2 linked regions of the Danio rerio genome follow. The protein of the gene in region 2 interacts with the protein of the main gene of each other region in a biochemical or structural test. Links are inferred from orthologs where the notes say so. Each region holds a gene or a part of one and is shown on either strand. Other genes may lie near its edges. The genes, in order: dnajc3a and thap12b.

Evidence for each region.
Region 1: the proteins of thap12b (region 2) and dnajc3a form a complex in vitro, tested with the Homo sapiens proteins (2 studies listed by BioGRID). The link is inferred for Danio rerio from reciprocal best matches to the Homo sapiens genes THAP12 and DNAJC3.

The regions. Positions count from the first base shown.
Region 1 is NC_133184.1:31,151,261-31,167,317, forward strand, and holds the end of dnajc3a (dnaJ homolog subfamily C precursor), read right to left. Parts: intron 14,555-16,057; coding exon 14,373-14,554; intron 12,987-14,372; coding exon 12,867-12,986; intron 11,893-12,866; coding exon 11,787-11,892; intron 11,679-11,786; coding exon 11,558-11,678; exon of another isoform or gene 11,062-11,557; intron 9,868-11,061; exon of another isoform or gene 9,041-9,867; coding exon 8,908-9,040; intron 8,798-8,907; coding exon 8,649-8,797; intron 6,308-8,648; coding exon 6,150-6,307; 3' UTR 5,859-6,149; downstream 1-5,858. Other genes in the region: uggt2 (UDP-glucose:glycoprotein glucosyltransferase 2), read left to right, coding at 3,262-3,409, 3,490-3,512. UniProt on the Homo sapiens protein: Involved in the unfolded protein response (UPR) during endoplasmic reticulum (ER) stress.
Region 2 is NC_133190.1:22,348,562-22,366,372, reverse strand, and holds thap12b (THAP domain containing 12b), read right to left. Parts: upstream 11,509-17,811; 5' UTR 11,452-11,508; coding exon 11,387-11,451; intron 10,565-11,386; exon of another isoform or gene 10,497-10,564; coding exon of another isoform or gene 10,408-10,496; intron 7,568-10,407; coding exon 7,447-7,567; intron 7,282-7,446; coding exon 7,174-7,281; intron 6,973-7,173; coding exon 6,936-6,972; intron 3,988-6,935; coding exon 2,102-3,987; 3' UTR 1,805-2,101; downstream 1-1,804. Other genes in the region: dyrk1ab (dual-specificity tyrosine-(Y)-phosphorylation regulated kinase 1A, b), read right to left, coding at 16,989-17,594, 17,692-17,811. UniProt on the Homo sapiens protein: Upstream regulator of interferon-induced serine/threonine protein kinase R (PKR). May block the PKR-inhibitory function of DNAJC3, resulting in restoration of kinase activity and suppression of cell growth.

The sequences.
Region 1 (16,057 bases), on a different chromosome or scaffold from region 2:
GACTTGTGAGATGATATACAGGTGAAATGCCTGCAGTCTGATAAAATCCAGATTTCTCCATTCCCACTATGGCTAACACACACACACACACATAGACAGAATGACAAAAATAGTAGTCTCATTTACACCCTGTTCCTGCTTCTGCTCCTGGGAATGGTCTCATTAGAGGCGGCGGTGGCTGTGTGGACTGCAGCGCACAGCACAGGTCTGGGAACAGGCTTCACTGCACTGCTTACCACTGCAATCCATCCGCTCCTCATTAAAGCTTTACTCCAGCCATGTGAGGGGCAGGCAGGGGTTATTTTTATTAACACAAACTGAATGTTTGCAATTGTAACTTATTTTAGTCTTGCTTTGTCAACTAGTGTTTGCAGTCACCCTCTATATTATTATTATTGATTTACCATTCCATAGTGTTTATATGGTCTTAATTCAATTTATTTAAAGATGTAATGCATACACATAATACCAAACATTCTTAAATAACAAAGGGTTGTTTTTTCCCCCAAAAAGAAAATATATTCATTTACTTAATTTCCAAACTCTTGTCAGTTTCTTTGTTGTTGTTAAACAGAAATAGAGATAATCAGAAAAAAAGTTTAAAGATTAAAATAAACTTAAATGTATAAATTAACTGAAAAGTAGTTCATGATTATACCAGATTTGTTTTTAAAGCAGGGGCAGCACAGTGGGGCAGTGGGGAGCTCAATCGCCTCACAGCAAGAAGGTCGCTGGATTGAGCCTCGGCTGGGTCAGTTGGCTTTCTGTGTGGAGTTTGCATGTTCTCTCCGTGTTGGTGTGGGTTTCCTCCGGGTGCTCCCTCAGAAGTACAAAAACATGTGGTATAGGTGAATTGGATAGGCAAAATTTTCCTTAGTGTATGAATGAGTGTGTATGGATGATTCGCAGTGATGGGTTGCAGCTGGAAGGGCATCAGCTGCATAAATCATATGCTGGATAAGTTGGCAGTTCCACTGTGGCGACCCCTGATTAATAAAGGGATTAAGCCAAAAAGTTCGAAAGTTTCGAAAATGTTCGAAACTTGCAATAAACATACTAACAACTACAACATGCTAGCTAGGTGCTAAAACAAATCATGCTAAAAACATGCTGGCAAAATGCTAAAACAAAACATGCTAGAGACAAAAGCAATGTGCTAAAACAAATCATGCAAGAAACACACCATAGATATATACATTAGATGTCGCCTATGCTGTTGTTGTTTATTGGAAGGAATGTGTCAATAGAGCCGCCATTTTAGTACAGGGTAGCGCTCCTTTGCAATGAATGTGGGACCAAGATGTAGTGGAGGACTGGCCATCCAGAGCCAGAGAGATGTAAATATTTATACATATGTCTATGATTGAAAGTTTTTCCAGTGGTCAGTATGCAAATATATATATTTTTAATTATGCTTTATCGCTTTTCTACATTGATGGATAAGTGATCACATATTGCTGACAAAGGGCATGTGTTTGAGTGCATGGAAATGTTTTATCCACCCTACCTGTTAAACTTGATCTAATCTATGTCCTGAAACACACCCCCTCTCCTGCTTTCACTTCTAATTCAGAGGGACCGATTATATTGTGAATGAATCCCCATTATAAATGACTCGTGTGAAGCATCGATATCCCTGTGGCTCAATGTGCATATTCACCTTTCTGATCTAAATGGTATATAACATATGTAATATTCAATAATTTAGGGTGTACAGTATGCACATTGAGGCGCAGGCAGTTTTGTAATCAGACACCCTTATAAGTTACTTTAAAAACTAGCGTCACTTCACTTAGCTGACAATAATACAAATATCTGACAGTACAGTGTCTTGTCATATTTCATTTACATTGTTTGCCTATTTTATTCAACAAAACTAGCAGAAGTCCAGTATTTCGAGCAAGTTGGTGCTACTTTGCCTGATAGTCAGTGCAGTAAGTGACTTTATTATCATCAGTAACGTTACTTGTTGAGCACAAACATTCATAACATATAAAATCATAAAAACCCAGATCTTACCTATGAAATGTGATGCCTTTATGCTTTGTTTTCTTTGTCTGCTCATTACTACACCCGTACACAACGCTACAGTCCAGCATCTTTAGATTGGCTTTAGTCTTGACTATTGCAGTTGAAGGACGTTTGTCTTGGGAGCACTGTACATATGTGGCAGCGCTACTGATGCATACTCTGGGTTCGTGTGCAATATCTAGTCTATATCTATGGAAACACTAGCAATGAGTTAAAACTTTAGAAATGTCAGCAACTTTATATCATACTTTAATTTGCTACAAAAACTGGACTGACACAGCTTCAATTTACTAGAACTTCTATGTTAAGCTGCTTTGACACAATCTTGTAAAAGGGCTATTGAAATAAAGATGAATTGAATTAAATACAAGGATAGCAACATGCTAATAGTTGAAAACTTCAGACTTTAAGCTTTTTTAAGCTTTTTTTTTCAAACTTACAAGTAAATGTAAATGTTTTCAACTTTAATCTAATAATTATCATCTGCAGTTCTATCGCTTGCAGGAAATCCTTTTGCTTGTTATTTCTGCAATGCTAAATTTCAATTCAATCCTACAGTACCAGTCAATACATTGAGCAGTCTGGACAAATTTCTGTTTCTATTCATCTTTACCCTTTAAAAATTATTCTTTGAAATATTAAATATTAAAATACAATATTTGTTGTAAACATAACACAGATTATATGGTCACACTTTATTTTGATGGTCTGTTTGTTGAATTTGAGTCGCATTGCTTCTACATGCCAACTAATTCTCATTAGATTATAAGTAGACTGTTAGGTTGGGGTTAGGGTTGGTGTAAGTTGACATGTACTTGCAAAGTTTCTTCTAGTCAGTTAAATGTCTGTTGAAGGAGCAGTATCAGCAGATATTAAGCAGACAGTCTACTAATACTCAAATGGACCATCAAAATAAAGTATTAATCAACTACAATCTACAGTAAAGTTCTCAAGTGGGTCTGAATACCATTTTAAAAACCATTTTAAGCTGATATTGGATGTAAATTGTCCAAACTTTGTGTCCACAGCATTGAAAGTGCTGTAGTAAATGTAAAAATGTGCTCTGTGAATCAGAAATGACCAAAGTGTTGACATCAGCCTCTATTACAGGTGAACAGTACTGACAGTTTTCACTTGAAGTCCTCAAAAATTGAAATAAAAGCTCTGCTAAAACAGCTGAAGGAAGTGTTTCGCCTACACAATTGACTTTTTGGGCTTGATTTGTTGCAGTGTAATAACCCAAGGACCAAAGAGCCCAAGCTGAGTGCAGCGGTGAGGATTGTTTCAGAGTGGACGGAATATGACAATGAGATAAAACGCTTTCTGAAAGAAGCGAAAAAAGAAATTACCCAGAGTAAAGCATCCACACAGCACACAGGTAACTCTAATCAATACACAACAATACTTCAGTAATCCTTGTGATTGAAGCAAAGTTCATGAACATCTGTATTTTAACAGGCAATCGACGTGACGAACTTTAGCACTCAAGAAAACCGACTCGTCCTGTAAATCTTAAACCATGTTTTCCACGACAGAAATCATTTTTAAAGGACTTCATGTCAATTTTATGTATGTGATTTTGAAGGAAGATTCAGTTTGAATTATTTCAAATTGTAAACATGTCTTGGCTTTTTATAAAACGCTGTTGAAGAGCATTGAAGAAATCTGATATTTTTGGCCAGCTCATGAACTTGCAAAGGCACTGGTGTTTATCTGAAGTATTTATAAGGGAGAAACATGTCAATATTGTGTACATTCCTTCAGAGAAAACGGTTACATGTTTGTTCTGTTTCACATGGCCTTTTTGTATTCAGTAAATAACTGTACAATACTTTTGTTTGCGTGCAAATTGAAGGGTATATGACAATTTCAGTAATAACTAATACATTCTGATTAATTACAACTCATGTTTGAGTACTGAAAAACTGAACACTATGAAGAAGACTATTTCCAGAATAAATCATTCATTTGTAAACCAAATGAAGGACATCAAGATATTTGTTATTGTCAAAACTTGTCAGTTCTGCATATCTGATCTGAAGACCTTTCTGAATGACAGTTACTGAAGCTGATTTCCAGCATTCCCTGATTATTTATATTCTTGCATTTCATCATTGACATGTTGTACATGACTCTGTACATGTTGTTTCTATGCCTTGATGTTCAGTGATTTTCTCAGGAATAAAGTGATATTTTTATTCTGAGGTGGAGAAAGCCTGTTTATAAACTGCTGGTGTTTTAAATTTGATTAATTTAAAAGGGATAGTTCACTCAAAAATAAAAACTGTCATTATTTACTTATTCCTTGTTAGAAACAGGTTCCTTTCTTCTGTTGAACACAAAGGAGTATATACACTCAAACAACTTGCTGTTTGTTCAGAATAATTGGAAATAAGTTAAAACAACACAATAATTAAGTGTTTTTTTGGGACAACTTAATTGTTTGTTCGGACCACTTACATTTGTAAATGTTAACAATGTTACGTTTACTTAAAAGGGTGGTCCAGAGTGTATGTATAAGGCTTGGTTGGGTTGATAAGATGCAAAGCATTGTGTGCTCATGCTTCATTTGTATAAAATTAGTTTTTATATATATATATATATATATATATATATATATATATATATATATATATATATATATATATATATATATATATATTTGATTATATACAGCTACTCGGCTAACATGTACGAATGACTGTCATATATCCTAGTTCCTCTGAAACCCCCGCCCTCAAGGGGCTCTGATTGGCCAGCAGCTAATTTAATGTGCCGTGATTCGCAGATCAGCTTTACGTGACCAGGAAAATTTTCACACATCTTCAAGCACATGCTTTTGCACTAGGTAAACACTTTCAGTCAGAGTAGCTGTTAGCTGTATCAGTTTGAGCCTGAATCAGACAGAAAATGAAGAGGACACAGCTGAACCTCATTTCCCATTGTTTACATTCTTGCTACAACACAGCGGTAACGCTAGATAATGTGCATGGATTTGATTAATTTTAACAAATAAAAATACTAACAGGTTGTGGCTCACAATCCACCGCTTCATCAGTTGGAGGAGTTTGGAGTTTTTATCAGAATCCAGCACAGAACTGAGGGAGATTCTGGAAGCTGTCCATTGTCAAATGCTAGCTGTATATTTTTTATAATTCTCTGGAACACAATTAAAATTAAACTGTAAGCACTTCTGTCTTTGTGTCGTGTCCGTTTAAAGCCCAAATACAGAAAGAGAACAAACTTTGTGGCAATAGCAGCGTTTGGACAGCATTTCAGTTTTCTCTGCTATAACATTACAGCGCCCCTTTACTGGACAGGGTGTATGCGCATAGTGAATGCACAGAACCAGAAGCCCATGTGATCTCACTAGCCTGGATGTTTTTTGTAGTCCTCAAACTTTGTTTGCTGTAGGCTTTGCTAAGCTAACTCTGTAAAGCCAATGTCTCCTTTGCATTGAACTTTGAGCGTAATACATTCAGAGATGTTGTTTGTTCACACAGCTACATTACACATCAACTAAGGTTTCAAATATGATATCATAGTGGACCACCTCTTTTAGGACAACGCGAAAGAATTCTGAAACCTAGATTTTTAATTAATTTTTTTATTATAGCATACTGAAGAATGTTGGGGGAAAACTGTTCTACTATGAATATTAATGGCTGCTTTTTCCAACCTTGTTCAGATTCAGAATTTGTTGTTTTGTGTTCGACAGAAGTTTAAAAGCACTTGAGTGTAAGAAAATAAGTGGATTTTCATTTTTGGGTGATATATTTCTTTAAATGCCTCTATGCTCTTCAGTAAAAGACCCAAAACCCAGGTAATTTAAATAAGCATTCATATCTCTTTATTTAATTATTTACAGCTTGGTTTGATTCATAGAAAAATACTGTTTTCTATGTACATGTGATTCTCAGGAATGTAAAGGTCGATGCGCACATTGACCGTGCACTCAGGACTGTGAGATCCCTGTAGTAGAGGAGCTGTTCACAGATCAGTTGACCACGAGCTTCAAGGCGCTTGTCCCATCTGAAGTGCTCCTGTGTGTGAGGGGTCTCAAGTTCCCAATTGCTGACTCCAGCATATATCCAGGCCCCGGGTCCTTCAGCAGAGCCTTAGTTGAAACCAAATTTGAAATTAAAAGGTCCAGAACCAAACGGATTGAACCCCTGGAAGTTTTCCCAGCCGCCATGGAAGTGGTGGTGATGTCCTCCACCCTGCTGACTCTCAGGATCCATGGGATCTTCACCCTGGTCAAACTTACTCCTCATCTCTGTAGAGAAATGAATAGCATGACACTGTTTACAGGTGCTTAACAACCAGTAGTGTAAAGTAACAAATTACAGATACTCAAACTACTGTAATGGAGCAGTTTTTCTAAGAAATAGTAATTTACTAAGTAGTTTTAAAAATGTGTACTTTTACTTTCCCTTGAGTACATTTTTAGTGCTGTATTGTACTTTACCTCCACTACTTTCCATCTACCTACAGTCACTACTTTATTATTTCTTGTCTACGGGAATTAGAAAAATAAGACCTGTGATTCCTGTCCAATCAAAGTTGCACATAGAAGGTAAATCGCTTCATAATGAACTACCTCAAGACATGGGCAATTTATAATTGCAGCAAACTGTTTGCAACCATTAAAAGTGTCCAAGAAGATGTTCAAAATATTTACACACATTGACCCAGAGACTTAAGATGAATGTCACTGATGAGATGATGATTGGATGTTTACTATACAATGACCGAAATGCCCTTAGATACCCAGCAGACACAAAACGTCAACAAGACGTCAGACTGACATTATACCGCAATGTTGAGGAATGCCTTTTGTTTGGAAATAAAAATCGGGTTGATGTCACAAGTCAATTTCAAGCTGACATCAATGTCCAACCTAAAGTCAACATCTAATGATGTTACAGCTTGACGTTGTGTGGATGTTACCACTGTGACGCCTATCAGATGTTGGATTTTGGTTGCCATACCTGACGAATAAAGGTCAGTATTTGATGTTGGATTTTGGGCACTTTCTAACAACCTAATCAACGAAATATCAACTTCATTATTGGACATCAAAATAATGTTGTCCTAAGACATTTGCTGAACATTGAATTTTGGTTACCTGACATCACAACCTAAATCTAACTTAATATTAACGTCTTATGATGTTGTGTGCCTGCTGGGCAATAAGTAAAGGCACTACAGAAATTTACGTTTACACACATCTACAAATTATATGTAAACGCATCAACTTTTTACAGCGTAATAATCACTACTCATTAATACTTTTGGAAGGTCTACTTTTTAATCATACTTTAAGCAGTGATTACAACAAATACTTTTTCACTCCATTTTTGGGCCAGAAATAGTACTTTTACACCGGATATGATTATTCGGTACTCTTTCCACCACTGTTAACTACTAAGATTAAACCGCTCCTAATATGCCATTTTAAAGGTTACTAGATTTGTTTAGAAGGTTAACAAGCATCCAAAGTCAATACAGTTAAATTAAACGATGAACACTACTGCATTAGCTCTCTTCTTACAGGGTCTGAAATAAATCATTAAAGTTTTTTTAACCCCCCCTTTTTAAGTTTTCTCTCCTTTTTATTGGTCAAACAGGCTAGGTTCTTGTGATTTGTCAACTACTTGAAGGGATATCTCAGCCAAAAGAAAAACATATACAGTACTATAGCTGATGGAGCAAATCAATCCCAAACTCCCAATTTTTTTTTATGAGTGAAAACTGTATTTTAATGCTAATATTTATTTTAATTCATAAGTATAGTTGGTATAATATTAATAGTTTTGAGTTATTATTATTCATTTGTTTGCTTTTTACTGCCATATCAGCAACTTATGGCCATTTCATTCATGACAAGATCGATATAGATAAAACATTACATATTAATAACAACAACTTCACAGTTAATTAAGATATTTAAAAGTAAAATTAATTGACATTAAAAACATTAGTCATGATTAGGTAAGAGTTTTCAGTTCGATATATGATAAATAACCTATAATGTATCCATCAATGTGCTCTCAGTATAAAAATCTTGTATCCAATCAATACTAGTAATAGCCTAAACTTGAAATATTTACACATAATGTTGCTTTAATATACACATAGATAAGTAATAGAAATGTTAAGTGGTTTGTGAGGCTACAAATATCAGTTGATTTGTACAGATATAATATTTTCTTTAAATAGTCATCTGCTGATGCCACAAAATATTATTTCTGTCTGTAAAATGTGTTTCAATTCATTATATTTCTGATTATAAAATCTCTTAAATTTTCAACACAGAAGTGAATTGCTCTCATCAGAAATAAATCAAACAGACTCTCTCATTGGCTGTTTGCTGTACGTGTCACACTGTGAGCTGTGTGCAGTCCACTAACTCTGGATTAAACCCTGAGATAACAGAGAAAGTTTATTTCAAGCATTTTAAGACCACCAGATTTGAGTTGTTTGGTTTTGTAAACCCAAAGATTGGCCTATTCTGTATCCCAGAGTTTGTTCAACTCATTTTGTGCAACAGTCCTCTCTGATTGATGATTTTGATTTTTGGTGACTTTTAAACCAGCCATGACACTAAACTGTACCTGGGTCAGTGAGGACTTCTTTGGCTTGAGCGATGTCTATAAACTTCTTCTCTGCCTTCTTCTTCTCCTCTGCATCCTGGAAGTTGTCTGGATGCCACTGCTGTGCCAGCTTTCTATAGGCTTTCAAGATCTCCTTCTTCTGGGCCGTTCTGCAACCACAAAACATTCTTGAGTGTGTTCATTCATTATTATCGGGCCTCTGCATTGATGAACATCTGACTGAGAGTCATGGTGTGTGAGTGTATGCGTGTTGTCAAACCTCTTGACACCCAGGATCTTGTAGTAATCCCTCTTCTTGGACTGTTTGAGGAGGCGCTGGGCTCGCTCCAGACCCTCCTTGATCTGCCGGTCGTTTTCACTGTACTCTTTAGCGCTCTGAAAGTCTTTAATGGCTGAAAAAAAGGACATAATTCTGTCAGTTATTTTGATGAGAAATCTTGAGGAAACATTAAAAGAGTTCAAAAGAGTTTGTTTTATAGTTAAAATGAGGAATTCTAGAAACATTAATGATCGTGAGGTCACACTTTACAATAAGGTTCATAAATTAATGCACACACTAACATGAACAATATTTGTACAGCATTTATTAATCAAAATTAAACATTTACTAATGCATTATTAACCAAGTTCATGCTTGTTAACATTAGTTAATGCATCATCAATTAACATGAACTTACAATGAACAATTGTATTTTCATTAACAACCATGAACAAATACTTTAGCAAATATATTTTGTCATTTGTTCATGTTAATAAATGCATTAACTAACATTAGTCAGATTTTTAAGAGGATATTTTACAGATAATCCTTCAGATTTGTCTAAAATATAGACTGTAATACACAACTGACATATTTAATTTCTTATAAATAAACTAACATAACTTTAATCCATTTTATATCATATTTTATGGACCGATATCTACATGACAACATGACAAACTTCTTTAAATTATAAATGCTGAAAAGTACAAATATAAGTATAAATAAGTGCTGATAATATACTCTAAAATGGATTTAATGTTTAACTTGTCATAATTAATATATATACACGTTTTATCATTTAATTGGCAAAGCATGTTTTCAATTTAACTGTATGTAATATTTGTAAACAAATAAGACTTTTTAAATGAGCATATTTATAACATGAGCAAAAACTACTTATAATTTATAATAAATAACACTGACATTAAAAATGTCTCAATAGTAACACAAAGGGCCCTATCATACACTCGGCGCAGTGTGGCGCAAGGCGTTGCGCAGTAGTCTTTTGGTAGTTTCAGCTTGGCGCAAGAGTCATTTTGAGGCGTTGCTCTACGCTGTTTAAATAGCAATTGCATTAGCGCTCATTTTTGCGCCCATAGGCGTTCTGGTCTAAAAAGGAAGGCGTTCTGAGGCGTACCGCTGGCGCGTTGCTATTTTGAGAATCTATAATAGATTTTTCATTAGACCAAAACTAACCCGGTATAAACTCCAGCGCAGAGTTGCGCCTCGCTTACGCACTGCTTAATACGCACAAGAGAGCAATAGGCAAATATCTTTACATATGAAAAAATTTAAATATTAAGGATATATATAGGATATAATAAGAATAGATATAGAATATAAATATAAAGGATTAAAATATAACAAAACATTATTTTCTAGCCTACATAAATATGAAAAACCACTGCTTTTATGTCTTCTTCATCTCAGGAGGCTTTTTCAGTTCATTCATAACAATTTGCTTTTGTGTAATGTTTTTACTATTAGCAGTATTATTTATTATATCCATATTTATATTTGTTTTATTAAAAACAAGCTTAGATTTGCCCACCTATCAGGTTTTAGACCATATGGGGCAAAGCATGTGTTTTAGGATATAACTCAGGTTTTTGAGCACATTTTGCTATTATTATTCATTTATTCGTTTGCTGGACATTAGAAATGAATTTAGAAATAGTTTTGAAACTAATCTTTGCTCTTAACAAACAAAAGTATTTATTTATAGACTAATTGATGTCTGTGCGTAAAGGTTGTTCCTATCCAAGAGCGAAATTGAAAGTGATCCATTATCTCTCATTATCACGCAGTAGATGCTCTGTTTAACAGTTTTCTGTTAAAAACTGTTAACTGTTTGCTAGTGAAATGCTCATTTTTTCCACTTATTTGCTTCCTGTAAATAGCGAATGCGCTATTGGCGCGACGCAGCTGACTCTTAAAGGGAATGGGAGATGAGATTCTAATTGGTTTATTCTCAAAACACACCTATAACTTATTAAGAAAATAAACTCAACCCTTTTAGAACATGCGCCACGGCGCAAGGCAGATTTTCCGTCCTTAAATTAGCAAAAACGCGTCCTGACACTCCCTGAAAGCATTTGCGCCCTGCGTTTTGCGCTCTGCGCATGGACCATCAAAATAAAGCCCAAACACTGTATTGGCCTCAAGATTTTCCTGTTTTTTTTAAAACAAATTGTAAATGAGCTTTAAATAAAATTATCAGCAGAGAAAATATATTAAAGGCTGATAATGTAGAAAGTGTTTTATTTTATTCTTAAATTAATAAATGCGTTTTTAAAATGTACCTAACAAAGATTTTTCATTTTTACTCATATAGTCCATTTCAATGTTGTCAGGTCATTGGCCCATGAACATTTCCTGCTTGTTATGAAACCTTATAACTGTAATAAGAGGCAATTCAATCATAAATTAAAGTTAGAACATCCATCATAACATTATTGATCAATATGTGGCTCTTTTTAGATGATCTGAAGGAGGAAGTAGGCTGGGACCATCGTTTTTGTTTACGTCCCTCAAAATGGTCTATATTATTTTTTATTTAATAGCAATCGTTCAATTTTTCATAACTATATGTCTTTAAATCCCTGTAGTGTAGTTTTGGGTGGGTGTTGTTCAGTATTTCCAGTACCTTCTTCATACTGGTCGTCCTGCAGTAAAGCTTCAGCTCGGTCTTTCAGAGCATTGACATTCTGAGGATCAGTGTTTAGCACTTCACTGCACACTGAAATGGCTCTGGCGGTTTGCTGGTCCTGTGAAATAAAAGTGAAACCTGTTCACTTACAGTATGTTAATTCAGCACAGACGCAGCGTATGTTTTAGCTGACAGCGACATCTTGTGGACAGAAGCTCATCCTCACCTTTGATAAGCAGTGGCACATGCGTTCTTTAGCGTTCAGTGTGAAGTGGGGAACATTCGGTTCAGTCTTCATAACAGACTCGTATTTACTGACTGCATCACTGTACCTGTGCATTTACGAAAACAAACAACATTTAGATTATTTAGACAGTTGATCAATAGGTGTACATTTACTTCAAATACTTAAAATTTCCTGCACAAATAAAAAAAATGCGAGGCTACTTTTATTTAGCAAAAATTAGTGGAATACTATTTTTTCTTTTTTTTTTCAAATAAATGCTGTTTTCAGAACTTTTCTCCATAAAACATCGTTGTTTTTTTTACCACAAATAAACCCTAAAAAAAGTTTTTACAATTTTAACTAAGCTATTCTGCACTACATTTACAATGTAATATACATCTAATTACTCATATTAATTAAATAATTATTTCTAAACACTGAATCAGTATATCATGATCCCATTATATAGATCATGTTGCAATGATGAACATTAAACATTCAGCTATACCATTATAGTGAACTACATTGTAAAATATATTTAAAAAGTCAGTCATATCAAACTGTAAATCTGCATTTCACATTATTACAGTTTTACTGTATTTTGATCACCCACCCTACTGGGTGTGTGGGTGTGTGTGTAGCCAGATACATAATTACATAATACATAATTGAAATAACATACACTGCCATCCATGCATTATTAGCATTCATGAGTATTTCAAAATTTTCTAGCATTTATGCTTCATAGTATAATGCAATATTTAGTAAAATGAGCCACTCTATTAATAGCAACAATTGTTTTTTAAATATAGTCAGCTCTATATTTTCATTGTTATCTCAAAATGTCCATTTAAAAGACACAGATATTACATTCATTAAAATGCATTTACTAATGTAATTAAAATCAAGATTATATAATAAAATACATTCTGGGATGTGTTATTTCAGTCTCTAGAAGTACCAGTATCATATATAATTAATACAATTATAAATCATTTTAATAGCATTGGAAAAAAAAAAAAAAAGCAACAACACAAAATCAGATGTAGCCTAAAAATGTATAGATTTAGAAAGACGTACTTCTCCTGCTGGATAAGTTCTTCAGCAGACTGAATCTGCTTGTTGAGCTTCTTCACTTGTTTGTAGTGGCTGAAGCACTGCTTATGATCCTGGTCCAGTTTCAAACACTCCCTCACCTCACTGAACACACAAACAAAAGCTGAAATAATGGATCCAGCAGACAAAAGTTCACTACATCTTCAAAGTATAATATGTTTTGTAGCAGACAGGAACTCCAAGCTCCCAGACATAGGCTGCATTTACACTTGTGTGTTTTTTATTTTAAAACATACTACTTTCACTTTCTCCTGGATCAATGCATGTTACTGCATAATATACAGACTAAAACACAAAAAAAAAAAAAATAAATAAATATTTTTTACTATTTTCAAATATGTACGCGACTCCACATGCAATAGGGAAAGTAATTTTAAAAATCATCCTTGAAAAATTTGATAGATTCTTAATTTCGATTACTTTTCCTTGTTGATTTAATTTCCTTGTTAACCTAATTAGCAAACTTCAATTTAAATAGCTTAATACTATTGTCTTGCGAAATAGCTAGTACAAGATAATGTACCATCATCATCATCAAATTATTAAAAATTAGTCATTAAAACTACTGTTAAATTACAGAAATGGACAGCCTCTTTTGAATGCCTTGAAGATGATCACTAGATAATTGATTGCCAATATGTTTTATTTTTTTATGAGAGGGAGTGGTAAAGCATAAAATGTTCTGTGGGGTGTAATAACGCAGGTATTTCATTATTGTGCAATAACTGGCACTAGAAATGTGTCTTGTGTATCAGTTCTTTTACTAATTTACATATGTTTGCTAATTTATCGTTGTTTATCATTTGTGTACACGCATTTGTGAGAGAACTTATATGCACATAAAAATGCCTGAATATCAATCATACAGTAGGTAGGCCTATGATTGTTATATATACAGTTGAAGTCAGAATTATTCAACTAAATTCAATTCATCTTTATGTCTACAGTGCTTTTACAATGTAGATTGTGTCAAAGCAGCTTAACATGAAAGATAATATTAAATTGAAACTGTGTCAGTCCAGTTATTAGCCCTCCTGTTTATTATTTCTCACAAATTCTGTTTAACAGAGAAAAGATTTTTAAACATAATAGTTTTAATAACTCATTTCTAATAACGGATTTGTTTTATCTTTGCCATGATTACAGTAAATAATATTTGACTAGATATTTTGAGACACTTCTATACAGCTTAGTGACATTTAAAGGCTTAACTAGGCAAATTAGGTTAACTAGACAGTATAGGGTAATTAGGCACATTATTTTGTAATAATTGTTTGTTCTGTGGACTATTGATAAATATAGCTTAAAATGGGCTAATAATTTTGACCTTAAAATGTTTTATATAAAAAATCAAAAACTGCTTTTATTCTAGTTTATTCTGCTTTTAAAATAGTTCAAATAAGACTTAATAAAATAAAGACAGTAGTGTAAATGTAGGCTTAATACACAAATAATAAGATGTTGTCTTACTTGAGGGACATCTCATGGTCTCCCAGGTCATAATAGATGGTACTGAGCTTGTAAAAGGCCTGAGTGTTGTCACTTTTCAGTTTTGAAGCAGCCTTAAGGTCGCTGATAGCTTTGCCCAGCTCCCCCATCTGAATGAAGCACTCGGCCCGCATCTCTCTGGAGTCCACATCCCAAACACACGTCTGTCAACAGGACAAGCTAATGCTCAAATGCAATCCGTTGTTTGCTTTTTATTTTAATAGTAATATGAAATATGTACTGTTTATAGTTTTTGCAGCGCAAACTATCATGCCAATTCAGAACAAAGAGTTCTCTTACAAAGCACATACAATCCCTTTTCTTTTTTGTACCAGGATTTTATCAAGGTGGCTCACTTACAGTAAAATGAACCTCTTAATGCCAATGCAAATATTTGTGTCACTATTGAGAAAGAAATTTTATGTTATTATATGTTATAAATTGTTTTTTTTTTTTTTTTTACCTTCATTTTAAAAGTTTTAGTCAAAGGAGTTGTTTTTGTTTTGTAAGATAACTATAACTTTCATTTTATTACTTTATTATGTCTCTTTATTCTGAGCCAAAATATACAGCTTTTCTCAGTCTCTTTGGTACATTTCACAGATTAGAATTGAAACTTGCAAAGCAGCAAGTGCATTTCCCAAAACAATTCATACAAATAGCAAAACACTGTGGATTACCTGCAAAACTCAGTCTCTAGCACAAAGTACTTAGTTCATCTCTCAAAACTACTCTCTAACTAAAATTTCTGTATCAATGAACAAGTTAGTGTCATCAGAATTACGAGTCCTTGTGTCATTGTGTATGGATAAGACAGAAATTTCTCAGTCATGTAGTAAATACTACAGTGTACACTGGAAGGGTCTGCTTGTGTAAACAATGGCAATTTTCAGTTTTTATCAGTGGCTTTGCTGCATTTCTCACTACACTATTTACATTTGCACAACAGTTAATGCATTTCTCAAAACAATTAGTACAAACTGATAACTTAGTTTTTAACCTGCAAAAGCATGTCACTTGCTCAAAATAGATAGCTCATTCCTCAAACACAAGTATTCATGTCAATGAAAGTGTCAGTGTCAAGATGAAAAGTCCTGACACCATTGTTTATGAACAAGATAGTCAAATGGCTTAGTCATGTTTTCATTATGACAGTTTAGTCTGTACATTAAAAATAAAAATAAAATAAAAATAAAAAAAGTCAGATTTTGGTGACATGTCCTAAAAAAGCTCAAGACAGCACTATAGACTATTTGCACACCAATATGAAAACTACAGTAAAGTTAGACATCACTGCATTTAGTGAGGTATCCGAGTACAAGACACTGAATATGTATGTTTCACATTTTACTGCATTTGCTCTTTGCAATTCTAATTTATTCACAGCACTTCGCAAAAGAATAAATACAGCCTTATTTACAACAAACAAACTTACTTTGGGTAGAGGTGTGCACAACTGGAAACAATATTGCAGTCATATTAGAACTGAACCTACAACATATATAGGTCTGTAAATTAATCACGAAATTGTTCAATTTAGAAGACATTTTCGGGGGGAAAAAAAAAAAAAGATTTTAAAAATTTTGCTTGACAGATTTTGACAACCAGTTCAACATTTTTGTATGTAATGACTCGAGTAATGATATGAGGACTATTAGTTTTATATG
Region 2 (17,811 bases):
GTAAATATAATTTATAAATCATTTATAGTATGGCAATATTTAAATATTCCAATTAAGGGCTTCTGGGAGAAAGAACTCAATACAATTATTGATTGGGATACTGTCTGGGAGAACTCTTTTGTAACTTAAAAAAAAAAAACCAGCTCACCAAATGATTCATTAACTGATTTTTAAGGCATATGCTACCCCGTTATTCAAAAATGTAAAGAAAATCAGACCCTCTTTGTCACTTACGTAGCAACTCACAAGATACTTATACACATATGTTCTGGGAATGTCCTCAAATTTTATAATTCTGGTCCAAGGTATGCAACCTACTACCAGATCTAATAGAAACTCAGATCCAATTGCATTTATTACTCATCATCACTCTCCTAATCTATCAACCAAAGAAGGATTCTGTCAGTTGTTCTGACTGCTGCTGCTGCTGCTAAAAAATAAATCCAGAAAATGTGGCTGGATCCATCTCCTCAGGCTGATCTATCCTGGAGGGTCTATCTACTGGATATTATTTAGTATGGCATACTGGTGCCAGTTAGAAAAATGTACCATTTAGATTAAATGAGAGAGACACTGTATATATTTCAATCCTGATTTTGTACCTATTAATGCAGTATTACTGTTTTTAATTTACTTTTATGTTGGGTGGTTCAAAATAAACATGAATTTTTTTTTTTAAATGTTCAATAAAAAAAGGAGTTAAAAAGTGTGGTGAATTACAGATTTACATACTTCTTCACATTCAATCAGATGCTAGTTGTTATAGTTTTCTATATTATAATATAGAACTCAAAGGAAAATGTTTGGCAGTATGTTTGGACTAACCCAACATTAAATTACTTTCATTTGTTCTCTTTATTAAGATTTTGTTAACTTAAGCTAAATTATTAGTACCCATTATTAGGCACACAAGGAGCCTGCGTATATGCAGAAATCTGCAGATTTTTAGCCAATCATTGTTGTGTATACTGTTGTGCACAATATTTAGTTGTGTAAATAAATGTAAATTTATATAGTTTTAAATAAATTTCACTAATATTATGTAATAATAATGAAATGTTCATATGCTTTGTTTTTATTAACATGTTTATATTACGTTTTTAATTATGATACTCCTAAAATCATTCAAATAAAAAACCTGCAGATTTTTTTTTACAAAATTCTCAGAATAGCAAAAAATGTCAGCAGATTCTGTCTGGCCCTACTCATAAGACGCTTTGTTAGGAAAGCAACACAATAACATTTTTAAGCAGTTTATCCAAAATCTAAGCATTTTTTAAGCCTTCAAAACATAAGAAAAGTCAAATTTTCAAGTCATTTTCAAGGATTTTCAGCACCTGTAAGAACCCTGTAATACAATCCATGACTATGATGCTGAACAAAGACATTTAAAATCTGAAAAAAAAAAATCTTTCCACACTGTAAAAAAAATCAGTTATTTTACTTTTTTTCCCAGCAGCTGGGTTGAATGAAAAAAATCCTAAAAGTTTCAGACATTTGAAAAAAATCTGCGTTAAATTACAGAAATTTCCTTAAATTTTAATTTCCAGTAAATTTCTGAGATTTAACATCTGTTACTTTATGGAAAATTTCTGTAATTTAACGGGTGGTTTTACGGTACATTTCTGCAATTTAACGGCTGTTTCTTTACAGTAAATCTCTGTAATTTTACTTCTGTTTTTACGATAAATGTCTGTAATTTACCTGCTTTTTTATGGTACATTTTTCTGCTAGTACCCCAGCTGCTAGAAAAAAAGTAAAATAACAGTCTTTTTACAGTGTAGAAGACCTTCTAGAATCCTTGTTTTGAAGCATCAAAAGTTCTTTTACTTTATTTACACAACAGAGCAGTTTATACAAACACAAACTCATAAAACTGTCTTCAATAATTGATTCCTCAAGTCAAATTTTTCATTTATCAGCCCACTTGCATGGTAAATCAATTTTTTTAGGTTTTAACAAATGTAAAAATAGTATTTTATTTTTTGGAGCAGGGGAGGTAAGGATGAAAACAAAATACTTTGCATTATACAATTCCAATGCATAATACATTTCCAGTTGAAGGGTTTTCAGCACTTGGGAAGCCTATATCTCTTAGCTGTTAATCAGTCTTGCTTTCCTCTGGGTAACGTTTTAAATAACACTGGACCATTTCTTCAAGATCTGTCTTTATATGGTAATTGATATTTAGCACCGCCAGATTTTTACACCGCTGGCTGACCGCAGTGTCTGTAAGGTAAGCTTGTAAGCGTCTTTGTGCAGTTTCACCGTGACTCCCATCAAGCTTCAGCACAGGTAATGTGGCTAATATTTTCAAAAACGCATTAACATTTGGGAAGAACTTCACATCGGAGTGTTGAAGGGTTTCGTAAATGGTGGACGGCAAGCTAACTTCCTTGCCTCTGTGTTTCCATTTTATCCTCCAACAATGCAGTTCAGCAGGCAGCGTGTCAGGATGGGGTAGATCGGTCCTGTAAATGTCCGCGTGGCTCTCCTCAGAGGTATTGAACCTCATTTGGCCCATGACAGCAGGAACGAGAGACAGGCACTTGAGCGCTTTGAGATGATTTTCAGAGAAGATGTCCTTGACCTCCTGCGTGATGTACTCCATAACTGGCTGTGTGAGGTACTCTTTAAAGAACGACTCTGCCTGTATTTCTATAGTGTCCGGCGTTTGTTGCTTCCGAAGAAACAACCTTGGCACTCTCACCGGGACTTCCATTGCAGTCGCCATATTGACAGCCTCTTCGAACCAGAATTCATGGTATACCTCCAGATTGTCTGATACCTCATGCAGCGAATGCAGGACTGCAGTTAAACTGTTGGCGGCGAAAAACACATCAATGGTTTCTCCTTGCAAGTTCTTCCCAAACGCTCTGGTAAAAGACAATGCGTTCTTTAAAATAACCAACGTCACAATAAACTCAAAGTCCGCCAAGGCCTCGGAAATGGCGTAAGCGTCACTGGTGACTTGGTCACTCCATTTTAGATCCTCATTATCATGTATGCTGTCCATGCAGAGCAGAAGTGGCTCCAACAAATCCACAGCCATCTCAAACAGGTTATGAAGATCTGTCCAGGTTGATCGAGAGCCCTCTTTGAGGATGCTTTCTTTTTCTAGGTTTCCCTGGCAGAGGATGGAGATGGCATTGTCAAGTTCAGTCTGTAGCAAAGGGGATGCTCTGAAAAAAGCATTTGACTTCTTTAAAACTGACATCACGACTTGCACTCCGGTCAACGACATGCCGTTAGCAAGATGAACATTAAGAGCACAGGTGGAAGTAGGTGTGATCACCGCCATGGGATATTTTTCTTTTAGCTGGGCAGTGATGACCTTCATCTTGGTGCCAAGTATACCAGATCCTGCGTAGGCTTGTCCTCGGCAGTGCTCCATACTCAAGCCCCAACCCTTCATCAAGCGAGACTCTAATCTCTCAGCAACAGTGACCTCCTCTCCTTCGAATGAGAGGAACTCGATGAACTCTTCCCGGAGAGTGTTGTCTTGGTCTACGAAGCGCAGGAATATAGGTAGATGCTCTCCCTCTGGGAAGTCCACCAACTCACCGGTGACAATCGAAAAAAAGCGGCATTCCCTGACCTGCTGAAGGATCTCTTCACGGACGCATTTCTCACAAACATCCAGAAGCTGTCTCTGCTGGACGGCTGGACAATATTCCTCATTAACGGCCGCTGACTCAAATCTCCTCCTGAGAAACTCATCGCCTGCATTGATGCGGTTCTCAAGCAATGCTTGAAAGTTACCTGGATTAAACAGCCATTCCTCTCTAGAGCGCATTTCATCTTCTCTTGCATTGCTGCTGAATGGAAAGCTTTGCCTTCCTATCAAAATCATGACTTCAAATGAAGACTTTAAGAACTCTCTTAGGTCTTTCTGCTCTGGCGTGAGCCGAGGTACATCATCGGTGGTCTCGCTGTCATCCTGAGCATCACTGTCTTTTTTCGAGAGTTGTTCAATTGAAGACTCCACTAAAAAGATGGAGACAAAGCTTTTTTTAGTACATTTTAAATCAGATGGTAATGTACAGTTGCCTGGTGGTGACTTTGCTAAATAAATGTTTATTTTTAATGTTATTGGTAACGATTTCTTTGCATTTTGTAATTGCTATCAGGCTCAGAAAATGTGTTTTAAGATCTGTATTTATCAGCCAACATATCGTTTTTAGCTTCTGATTATGAAAATCAGTATGTCAAAATTACATTACTAATGCATCCATATCAGCTGGTCAATATTACATCCTCAAAAAGGCCTTGCTTTACACCAGGCATTAATAAAGGTCACATAGTTTACCCCTTTTTTAAGATTTATTATTATGGTTCTTCTGAGTGTGCCAGTTTAGGTTCAGTTCAAAACACAGTTCAGATTTTTTTATTATAATGTGTTCAGAAGTGTTATTTTGGGGGCATGTACACAGGGCGCTGTTTTAGGGGCGTGTTGCTTTACATGAAAATAAGTTTCGACTTCCCGTCCAATGTAACAAGGGCCAAGAGCGCACCCGCTCTGTGTTTGGCAAAAGACAGGAAGACAGAGAGTGAGCAACATGAGTGAGAGGACCAGCATTCAGCATGTATGACTTGGACATAGACCAAGCAGAGAGTGCAAAAGCATTTGTCTTCGTATAGTTTTACAGCCAACTGCTAGTTTAAAGTTCCGAGCTTGTACACTGAGACTAATAACCACGCACACTGAATTAACTTTGACTGAGGCACCAGATGCATCGCTCAGAGCCACGACACGGAACACCAGACACGCACATTCGGATGTTATTTAATATGAAACTATTCAGATGGTGCTCTGTGGCACGACTGAAATAGGAGGTTTCCCGAATCGTGGCTGGGCGCCATGGACAGCTGCCGACTGGAAGCGTCATTGTGTGTACCCTGACAGAAATCTCGCACTTTCCAGCTGCACCTAGTTAGGATCACAGGGAGCTTCTGTGTGCGCAAGAAAAAACAGCTGAAGTTTAAGGTAGACGCAATGAAAAATAAACATGTTTGCAAACTGTTTTTATGTTGGTAAATTGAAAAAAAAAAGGACTGGGTGTGTTTGTATCACCCCAATATGACGGTCTATACACTATACCTACACATGTCTGTCCAAACAGCTTCAGGACTGAAATTTTAATCCCGTTCCCGCCAGGTTTTATAACGCACCAGACTGCTCCAGCCGCATATTCAGTCTTTGTTCACCCGCCCCATTTTCTACCCAACCATTCCCACTAAATTTAGATCTGGTTTTCAAAATCTCACGTAAAAATTGAACACTACCGAAAGAAAGAGAGAGAGAGATAACAGATAAAAGTGTAGCCTGTGCAAGGATTGTAAGCTAAATGTCAGTTTTGTTTGCCCCTCTGTGATGAGACATGAGTGCCACGTGACATGTGGTGACGTTTGTGGCTGGTGAGGCTCTTTCAAAGTCAGATATGCAAACATATCCACTCAATATATTTGTCAACTACTGATTGAGTTTCATATTTCACATCAGCATTATTTCTATACATGTAGCAGGTGCATATTGGGCCACAGAAGATTGTATAGTGATTAAATAGGACTCCCAAAAACACCCATATATAGATGTTATAGATGTTATAAACTGTATAGATGTTACAGAGTTCAGTTAGCCTATTACAAGCAACACACACACACACACACAGAGCATGGTGGTTGCGCTTGTTTTCTCTCATTCACACACACACACACACACACACACACACGCGCGCGCGCGCGCGCGCACACACACACACACACACACACACACACACACACACACACACACACACACACACACACACACACACACACACACACACACACACACACACACACACACACACACACACACACACACACACACACACACACACACACACACACACACACACACACACACACACACACACACACACACACACACACACACACACACACACAGCACCATGGCGGGCGTGCTGTCATTCATTCATTTATTTTCTTGTCGGCTTAGTCCCTTTATTAATCCGGGGTTTCCACAGCGGAATGAAGCACCAACTTATCCAGCAAGTTTTTAGTTTTTTATGCCCTTTCAGCCGCAATCCATCTCTGGGAAACATGCACATACACACACTTATACACTACGGACAATTTAGCCTACCCAATTCACCTGTACCACATGTATTTGGACTGTGGGGGAAACCAGAGTACCCGGAGGAAACCCACGCGAACGCAGGGAGAACATGCACAGAAACGCCAACTGAGCAGAGGATCGAACCAGCGACCGTGCTACCCACTGCGCCACTGCGTCGCCACGAATGTGCTGTCACATTCACATTTAGGTGTTTTATTGGCATGACCAATAACTGTACATTCGTATTGACAAAGCAGTGCAGCGTTGCTGCTTACAAACAAGACATTGCAAAAAGGGCAGTGGTGCACACCAGTAGTGCTCTCCCTCATTCTCTCTCCTTCACACACACACACACACACACACACACACACACACAGACACAGACACATACACAGCACTACGGAGGATGCTCTCGCTCTCTTTCTCAGACATATAGTCAGACCCCCGGCTCCCGTTTAACTTACACAAGAGCTCTCTACCACTACTGCATTTTATTCATGCCACGCCGCAAGAAAGCTGGTCGGGTCCTCTAGTTGCAGACCTCTAGTTTGGTGAACTGAACTGATGACATTTACGGCCAGTCATTTCTGTTGAGCATGTGAACCCAATGGCAAATCAGCAGATTTTAAGAACATGCTCCACAGCGCTCAAATGTTTTAAATGGAGGTTTTTAAATTTCAGTATCGATTAGTACCGAATTCCAGAATCATACAACTCAATGTGTGATATGTGTTATTATAAATATTCATGATTCATGGCCTGTAGTGTGATTTTTAAAAGTATTATTAGTCCAAAATCAAATATATATACTTACATCGCCTTTCCTTGATTTTCTGTACCTCTTCATCTGTCTGAGGAAAGCAAGAATGAAGCATCACTTTATGTCAGATGTTTTCTGTTCTATTACTTATCAACAACAATTATACAAGAAACATAAGAAATACTGGGCAGGTTTTCAATTTTACACCTCAAAAATAACAAGTTATTAGGTGGTAAACTCTACAGAATATAAATATGTCACACAAAGGACATGAAAAAGAAACTTCTCCTACCAAAACTTTGATGCGTTTGCGATGTCTGCTGTGGGGGTTGCCTAGATGACTGGTTAAATCAAAAATTGTGGGTATAGCAGTGTCTCTTAGTACTGTCCTATATGGACTCTGAAAAACACCGAAACAAAAACACTTAACTGATCCGTGTACATTTAAAACAACAAATCAAAGACTCAGACAATAAGAAAATAATATGATTAAAAATAAACAGATTCCTGCTTTATTACTAAATATCTTAAAGACAAACTACAATGATGAAGTATTTTGCATTACAGTTTTGCAAATCATGGCTGGTTCAAAGTGTTTAGCACACAGTCGGTAGTGCTTGTTCAGTTGATCAGGGGTTTTCTCCTCCAGATCTGCACGCCGACAGTTCTCCACCCACAGCCTACATCTGTGAAGTAAAACAAAGCACAAAGGTTTATGAAATAAACAATGACTAGTCTCTTGTAACACTTATTCATAGGTTTAGAGAAGAAAACATTTAAAAAATAAATTACACATGTAACGTTACAATTTACTGGTTAATTTGACAAAGCGTTTAAACTTTTTCAAGTCATTAGAAAAATGTAGTCCATACAGGGCTGCACAACATATCGTTTCAGCATCGATATCACAATGTGATCATTCGCAATAGTCACATCGCGTGTATAAGCAATGTTGAGTCTGGATTATAATTTCACAAGCCTTTTTTGAGGCCTGTGACTGCGTGAAGACTTTAAATTGTATCATTTTTAATTTAATGACAATTAATTTGATTGAATTGTTTATTAAACAAAGACTATGCAGTATAATTTTACATTTGATTATTCATCTACTGCATACCTGAATACAGATCGACTCCTCTGGAAAACAATAAATTGCTGTTTATTTAATTAGTACCTTTTTCTATAAGGAATTCATCTATGCTTGTAGATTTTTCATTGTATTTAATGAACTCCTTCACAGAATTATCCCAGTAAATCTAAAATTATAATTTCGTTCCAAACAGTTATTCAATACATCTAGTGAAATCGTATTCACATCACAATATGCAGAGCATCCGGAAAGTATTTATAGTGCTTCACTTTTTCCATGTTTTTCTTAATGTTACAATACAGGGCGACGGTTCATCTGCCAGCAGAACTATGACACAAAGCACACTGCCAAAATATCAATGGTGTGGCTTTACAACAACTCGGTCCTTGAGTGGCCCAGCCAGAGCCCAGATCTAAATCCTCTCCCAGACCTAAAGACCTAAACATCTCTGGAGAGATCTGAAAATGGCTGTACACCAGCACTTCCCATCCAACCTAATAGAGCTTGAGAGGTACTGAAAAGAGGAATGGGCAAAAATTCCCAAAGACAGGTGTGCCAAGCTTGTGGCAACATATATTTAAGAAGACTTGAGGTTGTAATTGTAATGTGCATCAACAAATTATTGAGCAAAGGCTGTGAATACTTATGTACATGTGATTTTTCAGCTTTTTTATTTTTAATAAATTTGCAACAATTTAAAAAAAAAAAAATTTCACATTGTCATTAGGGGTGTTGTGTGTAGAATTTTGAGGAAATTAATGAATTTAATCCATTTTGGAATAAGGCCGAAATAAAAAAATGTGGAATAAAGTGAATGGATACTATGAATACTTTTCAGATGCACAATATAGCAGAATAAAAAATATTGCAATGTTACATTTTTCCAGGAACATGCAGCCCTAACTCCATGTGAAAAGAATACTATAGTAACTTAAAATTCATAGTGTAGTGCTTTTAAAACTCTTTGTTAATTATGGATACAGCAGCATTCCATATTATTAAAACTATATAATTATAATAAGTTTGTTTTATCAGAACTATAGTAAACACAGAAATACTGTAGTATAGTTTAGATTTTACTACACTGTAAAACCCAAAAAGTTAAGGTAACTCAAACCATTCGAGGAAACTGATTGCAACAAACCATTTAAGTTAAAAAAACGAATCCTAATGAGTTACTGTAACTTGCTCCATTTGAGTAAAAGAAGCAATTTAAGCACAGTAAAACCCAGTAAATGGAGAACTTAAACCAACTGTGTACTGTAAAACCCAATAAGTTAAGGCAACTCAAACTGTTTGAGAAAATCGATCGCTACAAACCATTTGTGTTAAAAACTGATCTCTACGAGTACTGTGAACTTACTCCATTTTTAGTTAAAGTAATGTGGTATTTAATTAACTCATTGCCTTCAATACGGAGTTTAAAACTCTTTTCAAATGAGTAGAATTATCTTTCAGTAAATTTTGAGTTAACTACACTCATTTCATTTGAGAAAGTTCACTGTTGAGTTTTACAGTGTACTCATGGACGATAACCAGTTTCAAAGTTTACCGCAGTTTAGAACAGTTTAGATTTTAAAACCACAACATTTTCTATTATTATTATTCCTTTTTAACATTTTTTACTACTACTTTATGCAGGCTTTTTAGGGCAACAGTATATCCAGCATAAAAGTCCACTCCACATCAAGAGTCAGCCAATGATTCAGGAAACATCTGAAAAACAAATCACTTATACAGCAACATCCCAACATGCTATAGACCTGAACAGTGCGGTGGTTTAATGTACATTCAGAGAAAAAAAGATACACAATGTCTTTTCAGGTTGTGAGGAAATCTGTTTTTGAAACTAACGAAGAAAGCAAAAGTCAATGATTTATTTTAGTTAATAAGACTGACATGTGTACAGTTCCAACATTATGCACGTTTTCTAAAATGAAAAACATTGGGTTCAGTGTGGGAAAGGTTTTTTTTTTTGCACACATTTAAAAATATCTTTTTAAAGCAGTAACGTTAATCCCAATACTGTGAAGGTTATCATGCCGTCAGAATCTTATACCTACATTTAGTATTTACTACAGTAAATTGTGTTGTATTGTGGTAGAATTTAAGTTGTACAAATTGTGTAATTTGATTATGATTTAGATACTTTACTATAAACAATACAGCATTTTTCAAGTGGGAAAACCAAAACTGACAATATTTACTTTATTTTACTACGTAACCAAACACGCACGATCATGCACAACTTAATAGGGTAAACATCTCGAACATCTATGAAAATAGCACCCCCAATCGACATCAATACAAAGCGTTTTGATATGAAGAATATGATCATGAATAAGTCCTCATGAATAATTAATTAGATATAATGATGCTACTGAACGCCAGTGACAGTGTTATAAAGCTGTAAAAACAGTCGTAACGTTAAGTTACCTCTCTGGATCCCGTGGAAACCTGAAGAAAGCTAAATCGGATTGGGTGCTTTTCCTAGTACAGTTCGGAGCGGCACAAAAATTTGGCATTGTGTCTGATCTGATGAAGACTAAGTTTCTATTAGTTACGATGACACTAAATTAATCATTTCAGCGTTGCAAAAACTGAACTAGGCGCGTAACTATGAGGCACTAGCATTGTTGGCGTGTCTACCCACAATGCAAGTCGCTTAGATCCCACAATGCATCAGCCATACTGAAAGCGGTTGATATTTACGAATCGCTCTTTTGATTCGGATCTTTTCAGTGAATTGTGGAGCCAGATCAGTCTCATAAATAAAATTTTGTCAAATAAAAGTCATACATCCGCAACAAAATTCACATTCACAAAATCCAATTCGTAAATTCAAAACATGATTTATAAATATGAAAATCCAGTTTATTTGGTGAAAATATTAATGGTTTTTACTTTTTTACAAATTAGATTTAGTTGTGCTGGGCATGTAGTATGAATTTCATTTTGTAAATGTAACGTTATTATTTTTGTATGGAAGGTAATTCCAGCGATTTTATTCATTCATTCATTCATTTTCTTGTCAGCTTAGTACTGAGTAGCTTAGTACTGTTAATCTTGGGCCACCACAGCAGAATGAACCACCTACTTATCCAGCATATGTTTTACACAGTGGATGCCCTTAACAATTATAAAACTGTTCGCAAAATATCTGTCAAATGAAAATTGAAATTATTAAATTTTAATTTTCACTGTGTGACAACACCATGTCCTTGTAAAATTGATAAATAAAAAGAAGTTGCCGGTTTAACATTTCATTTTCACTGCATTTCCACGCCAAGACTGATTAAATAATTTAAGTTCATTTTCAATTTCGGCAGATATTTTGTGAACAATGTTTTTTAATGAAGGTGTTAATCTGGTTTTATTTGGATTTTCAATGTTTATTTATTTGGCGACGTCACACCTCACAGCAAGACGGTTGCTGGTTTGAGCCTCGGCTGGGTCAGTTGGCATGTGGGGAGTTAGCATGTTCTCCTTGTGTTCACGTGGGTTTCCTCTGGGTGCGGTTTCCCCCACAAGTTCAAAGACATGCAGTACAGGTGGATTGGGTAAGCTAAAATTGTCCAAAGTGTATGTGTGTGAATGAGAGTGTGTGAGTGTTTCCCAGTGATGGGTTGCAGCTGGAAGGGCATCCGCTGCATAAAACATGCTGAATAAGTTGGCGGTTCATTCCGCTGTGGTGACCCTGGATTAAAGGGACAACAACACAGAAACACACAAGAAACACCAACTAAGTAGAGAGTCGAACCAGCGACCTTCTTGCTGTGGGCAACAACACTACCTACTGCGCCACTGCTTGGTAGTTGAAAATGTAAAGTTTATAATACAAATACAAGCAGCCTGAAGCAGGCCTGTAGCCAGGGGGGTTCTGGTGGTTCCGAAAATCCACCCCACCCCTCACTGACAAACGTCCAGAATTTGTCTAATTTTTGTCCTTCCAGCTGCAACCCATCTCTGGGAAACATCCATACACTCATACACTGCAAACAATTTAGCTTACCTAATTCACCTATACCACATGTGTTTGGACTTGAGGAGAAACAGGAGCACCTGGAGGAAACCCACGCCAACACGGGGAAAACGTTCAAACTCCACACAGAAATGTCAACTGACCCAGCCGGGGCTCGAACCAGCGACCTTATTGCTGTGAGACAATCGTGCTATGAGGCAAACCATGCTGCCTTAAATGACAATAGACTTGTGTTTAATTGAAAACTGATTCATTTTTTTTTCTCTAATAATAGATGATGGGATAAATTTGTATTTTAAAATAAGTATCTTTTCATATTTCTTTATTTTTTATCTAGAAAATATTTTTGGAATTTTGGTACATGAAAAAGTGTGGTTATGACTATCCAACAAGCTAATCCAGCTAAAAATAGTACTTCAAATGTATTTAAATCACATTTTAATAGAAAATGAAGCGTATAACTGTAACAAGGTCCACTTTTTAATAAAGTTTCACCAGGCTGGTTATAGTCCTGACATGTAGAGGATATAATAAAAGTACCCGTGCCTCTCCTTTCAATCAAACAGAGCGAAAATTCTTCAACTTTCTGACCTTGCATGATCCTCTGGTGTAGTAGGACCTGTAAATCCTGTAGATGGCAGCAAAGGCTAGGCGTCTTAAGAACAGACCCTCATTCCCTTACATACATTTTCAGCACAAGCTTGTTTGATACATTTAGTTTGGCAGCGATTGACATGACGGCAACTTGGCCATCTCTGTCCTCAACTTACTAGTAAGATGATTTGAGATTACCCCACATTATCCAATATTTAATCTACAATAGGAAAGATGGAATCGTACTGATGAGTGATCATTAAGTAACGCTAATATAATAAGGATTGCAGTAATCACAAATATGCACAATTTTCTTTAAATCAGGCCTCAAACTCAATTCCTGGAGGCTTGCAGCTCTGCAGTTTTGCTCCAACCCTAATCAAACACAGCTGATCCAAATAATCAAGGTGTTCAAGACTAGAGACTGTCAAGCAGGTGTGAGTTGGAGGTGGCTGGAGCTAATATGCAGAGCTGCGGCCCTCCAGGAATTGAGTTTGAGAGCATTGCTTTAAAACACTTACCTGCCGGTGTTTTCTAGGACATTCATGTTATTTATATGACAGTGCTCGACTCTTAGAGAGTTAAAGTGACAATTAAAGAAACACTGGTGTTTTCCATTAGCATTTGATGCTGTATAAATGTGTTTTATTGTTGAAACAGTTCATTACGGGTGGTACTAAATTTGAAGTTTAAATTTTGGGGTTGTGTGCAGGCAGCTTACTGTGTAAAATTGAGTAATAAAGCTTTTATTATAGGTAGAGGTATGAATTATAACTTTAATTTTACTTTTATTTTTGAATGTTTATTGTTTGTGTACAGTGCTGTTGTTAAGAAATAAGTAAGCATTGAACATTGTAGGTTAACATTATTTTTTTAATTAACAGTTAATTCATTTAAAAAGTTATAACCACTAAAAAGCCAAATTTTATTTAACAGAGGTTTAAAAGTGTTACTTTTCTTCATTGTCATAGCGGCATGCAGCGCGTGATTTCATAATTACATCGTGACGTAAAGAATCACTGAATCTGAACCAATGAACTGTTCGAAAGAACCGAACACAGTGCCATGACGGAGAATCAAACTAGTCTGATCTCTGTATTTAGATCAATGGTTCTTTGTAAGCAAAACGACGTATATTTCAGTCGGAGTTGAGCACGTAGCATTTATTTTGAACCATGTGAGGTCAAAGCAAATTCATATTCGGAAGTAAAAAAAAAAGGTGGGCTCGTCCGGGATTTGAACCCGGGACCTCTCGCACCCGAAGCGAGAATCATACCCCTAGACCAACGAGCCGCGCAATATTTATCAGAATTCCCGCCACTTAAACATCCACTTACTGACTGAAAAAGTTTAATATCCGCCAATTTATTTTTGAGTTTTTGATTTTTTGGTGTATTGATTTGATAATCCGCAGCAACTATTTTAACAGGTTTATAATGAAATGTTTAGATTCGATGTGGTGAAGCAACAAGCCATGGAATAAAGAAAAAAAGCCAAGAGCGCGTCAATTAAGTTATTTTTTATATATCATACATAAGACTGTTTGAATATAATACAAAGGGCATTTTCATATACACAGCAAAGTCTTGACTAGAGCTTACAATCTGTGGACACTTATCCTTTCCCCATGCTGTTCAATTATATAGTGCATGTTGCATGAAAAGGGTCAAGAAAATATGAAAACTCAAAAATAATAATCAGAAGGCAGAAGAATGTTGAATTAAAAAACATGATCTTGTGTATCAGTGACAATTACCTAGAATGCATTTCTAAGAAAAGGGGAGAAACAGACCTAGCAAACCATGAGCATTATAAAAAGTGTGGACACACACACATGCGTCATACCCTGTGAAAAGATTCCTTCGGTACAAGTCATAAGCCCTACCTTTAATGTTGTCCTGTTGATGTCAAATGCATCTGACTAAAAGCAAATTTGGTCCATCGACCAAGACAAGGAGGGATTTTAAAAGAAAATGCAAGGGGGAATAAACAGGTAAGCAAACAGATGGCAATGTAATTGACATACCAGCAGGAGCAATGTAGTGAGTTCTATACTTCCTTTATTTAAAAAAATATAAATATATACATAAATTCTATTTCAACTATTAAAAAGGGGCTGCATTTCATGAAAACTGCACTAAATCAGACCTCATTTAGTAACAGCTGAAACAGGTGCACTCTTTTAAAAGTTTCTGCCATTTTGTTAAGATTTTGATATTTGGAATGTTTATGTCGACGCCAGCAAACAGCACTCCAATGTTTTATATATAGGCAAAAACATCTTTAACTAACATTCAGGTAAACCCCTTTTCTTCAGATTTCCACTAGCTGTTGAAAGAAATATACCAAAAACATGATTCTGTCTGAAAGTGACGTCTTCGCTAAAGGAAAAGAGTGAACACCACACGCTTTCCGGCAGGATAGTGTCCCACTGTCTGTAATTGAGCCAACTAGGGCTTCTCTGAAGAATTCAATTGAGACCTAAAGTGAGAAGCTAGGTGGTGGTGGTGGTGGGGGGGGGGCTCACAGCCTCTGATATAAAGACGAGAGTGAGCATAGCTATCCTTAACGTGACTATGAACACTTCTCCTCTTCAGAAACATGCATGTGCCCAGTGTCTGTGTGGCAGCGCTTCCCTTTCAATACTACATCTGAGGCAAGCAATCACTGGCTAACAAATTCAACTCAGACGCAGAGGTCACAGTAGCTACAGTAGACTGCCTGAATAAATAAATTTAAGTAGCCACTTAGATTTAAAAAGGTAGAAATTAGCATGTTCATCAAATTAGGTATAAAAGGCAGCATCACTGACTGATAGACCAGGTAAATATAAAACAAAACACTTTTCTCTCCTCGGAATACATTTGTATGAGCTCTCAGCTACTCTGTAGCCTGCAGAGTAACCGTCAGTGTCCCTCTTCCCTCCCCTTGACAGCAAAAACAAAAGGAAAAGGGTAACAAATCAGGGAGGTTTTTCCATATATTAAACCGATTTCAGTATTTCGTTAACATTAAAACAAAGTTCAGCAAACGTTTCAGTTTGAGAGAGAGTGTGTACAGACTAAAATGGACTCTGATGAGGCTCGGGCTGAAGTGGTGAACTGCTACATTATTTCTTACAGACACCTAGTGCTATAAAAAACAACAGCTTTGGTATATCAAAAAAAAAGGACAAGAAAAAAATAGAAAGACGGTCATAATAAAGTAATTGGTGTAAGATTCACAGCATAATTCAAGAGGAGAAAAAAGGCAGTCACATAAATCTCATTACATATCTTCTGTGTTCAACACAAAGAGGCAAATTTATGCAGATGTTTTTCCAATAGAAACCACATGCTTGACGGGAAAGGAAAAAAAAAAACAAGCCAATCAATGAGAAATGAATACTTTCTATGTGAAATCCCACTTCGGCAATTTTAGGAAGTCATATTAGGGACGTTTGAGCAAGACCCTGCAATTTGGAGTCCTTTAAAAGAGAAAAATCTTTGCTAAATAAAGGCCTCTGAATAATGATTCTCGTTCAGCTTCACTAACCGATTAAGGACTCTTTCTTTAAACGTGAAAAATAGAGGACAGCCATCATATCTCTGTTTAATGATAAAGTCCAGCTCCTTTTCAGTCAAGGTCCAAAAGTCATAAGGCCAAAGGGTTCTCGACAGCAGCCCCCAAATCCACCTGGATCCGGATCTGCTCCCCTCCTCAGCACACCTCCATCATTATCTCCTCCTCCTCAGCTGCTGTACGTAGTCGAAGCCGGCCGGTCCTCCAGGCCTGAAGAGTACTGCACCTGCCTGTCTGTCTGTCTGTCTCGGGACCCAACACCAGCGGAGCTCAGCAGCTCAGTGCCCCGCTCCAAGAGTTACACGATACCGACAACACGAAATATCACTGCAAGTACTGCTTCCTTGACACGCTACAGGTTTAAACACACAGCTCTTTAGAGAAGTTTCACTTAAAGGGTAAAGAAAAGAACGACCAGCCAAATGATAATGTCCAATGTTTCACTTGTTTGAACTAAACAAATGTTTTGCATTGCTTTACATATAAAAAGCTGTACGACAGCTCACAGCTCTGAAATGCTCACTGTATTGAATGAAAAAAAGGGACAACTAAAACAAATCTAGATGAAACAGATGGTGAACAAGTACTGTATGCAGTTGAGTGAATGGGCAGTTCCACTATGGTTATCTGCTGCATTACGAACTCATCTAGAAATCGACAACGGAAAATGATGGAAATACATATAGACTTTTGTTTTTAAATACTCTTCAATTTGTAGCGGTTCAGTGATATCTGAAGTGAGCAGCTTTTATTCTCTATGCACCTTTTGAAAAAACAGAAAATGAAAACACCACCATTAAAAAAAAAACAAACAAACAAAAGAAACAAACAAAAAAAAAAAAATCACACAGAAAACAAAACAAACCAATTTCAGCTAAAGTCACGAGCTGGCCATCGAGCTCTGCTGAACACAGACTCCAGTCATTGGAGAATCTTCCCTATCAATGCCTTGTCTCATGCCCAGGTGTCCCTCTGCTATAAAGTGACCAGTTCCTGTGTTTGTGGCAACGGGGTACGTGGGATTTCCAGCCATACCAGTCTCTTGGCGGGGATTTGAGAAGGCACCCAAACCCATACTCATACTTAAACTTCCGTTTTGGCTAAAGTCCAGGGTGTTGGCAGGAAGATGGCGGAGCTGGTAAGCCTGGTTGCCGTGGTTTCCTGTGGAAGAGGAAGATGTGGAGGAAGAGGATGCTGAGGAAGACAGAGATGTCATGGACAGATGACCGTGCACCACCTCCATGGAATCCTGGGTGGAGGCGCTGTTGGTGGGCGAGTTGTAGAGTCGTGGCCGTGGTCGCGTTGCAATGACCTGTCCGTGGTGGTGGTGATGATGGTGGTGGTGATGGTGATGGGGGTGCAATGCCTTGGGATGCTGGGGAGGCACATGAAAAGTGGTTTCCTGGACTGGATGAGTCTCTACAGTGACAGGTTCTGGTCCTACGATTCCAGGCCATACAACTGGTGGATGATAAGGCTGTCTCGCCTGCACAAACCAGAAACAGAAAAAAGCACTGTTCGGTGAGAAAGGTCAAACTCTGAATCGCTTTAACCACTTGACAAGAGAAGCCACAGGGGCTCACCTGAGGGCACAGGTTGTCACAGTCTATGGCTGGCATAGCTGTGCCGAAATGCCCGCTGCTGTGCCGATGGTGGTGAGTTGGATCGGATCTTGCTCTGCCACTGGTGCTTGTTCCAGATGA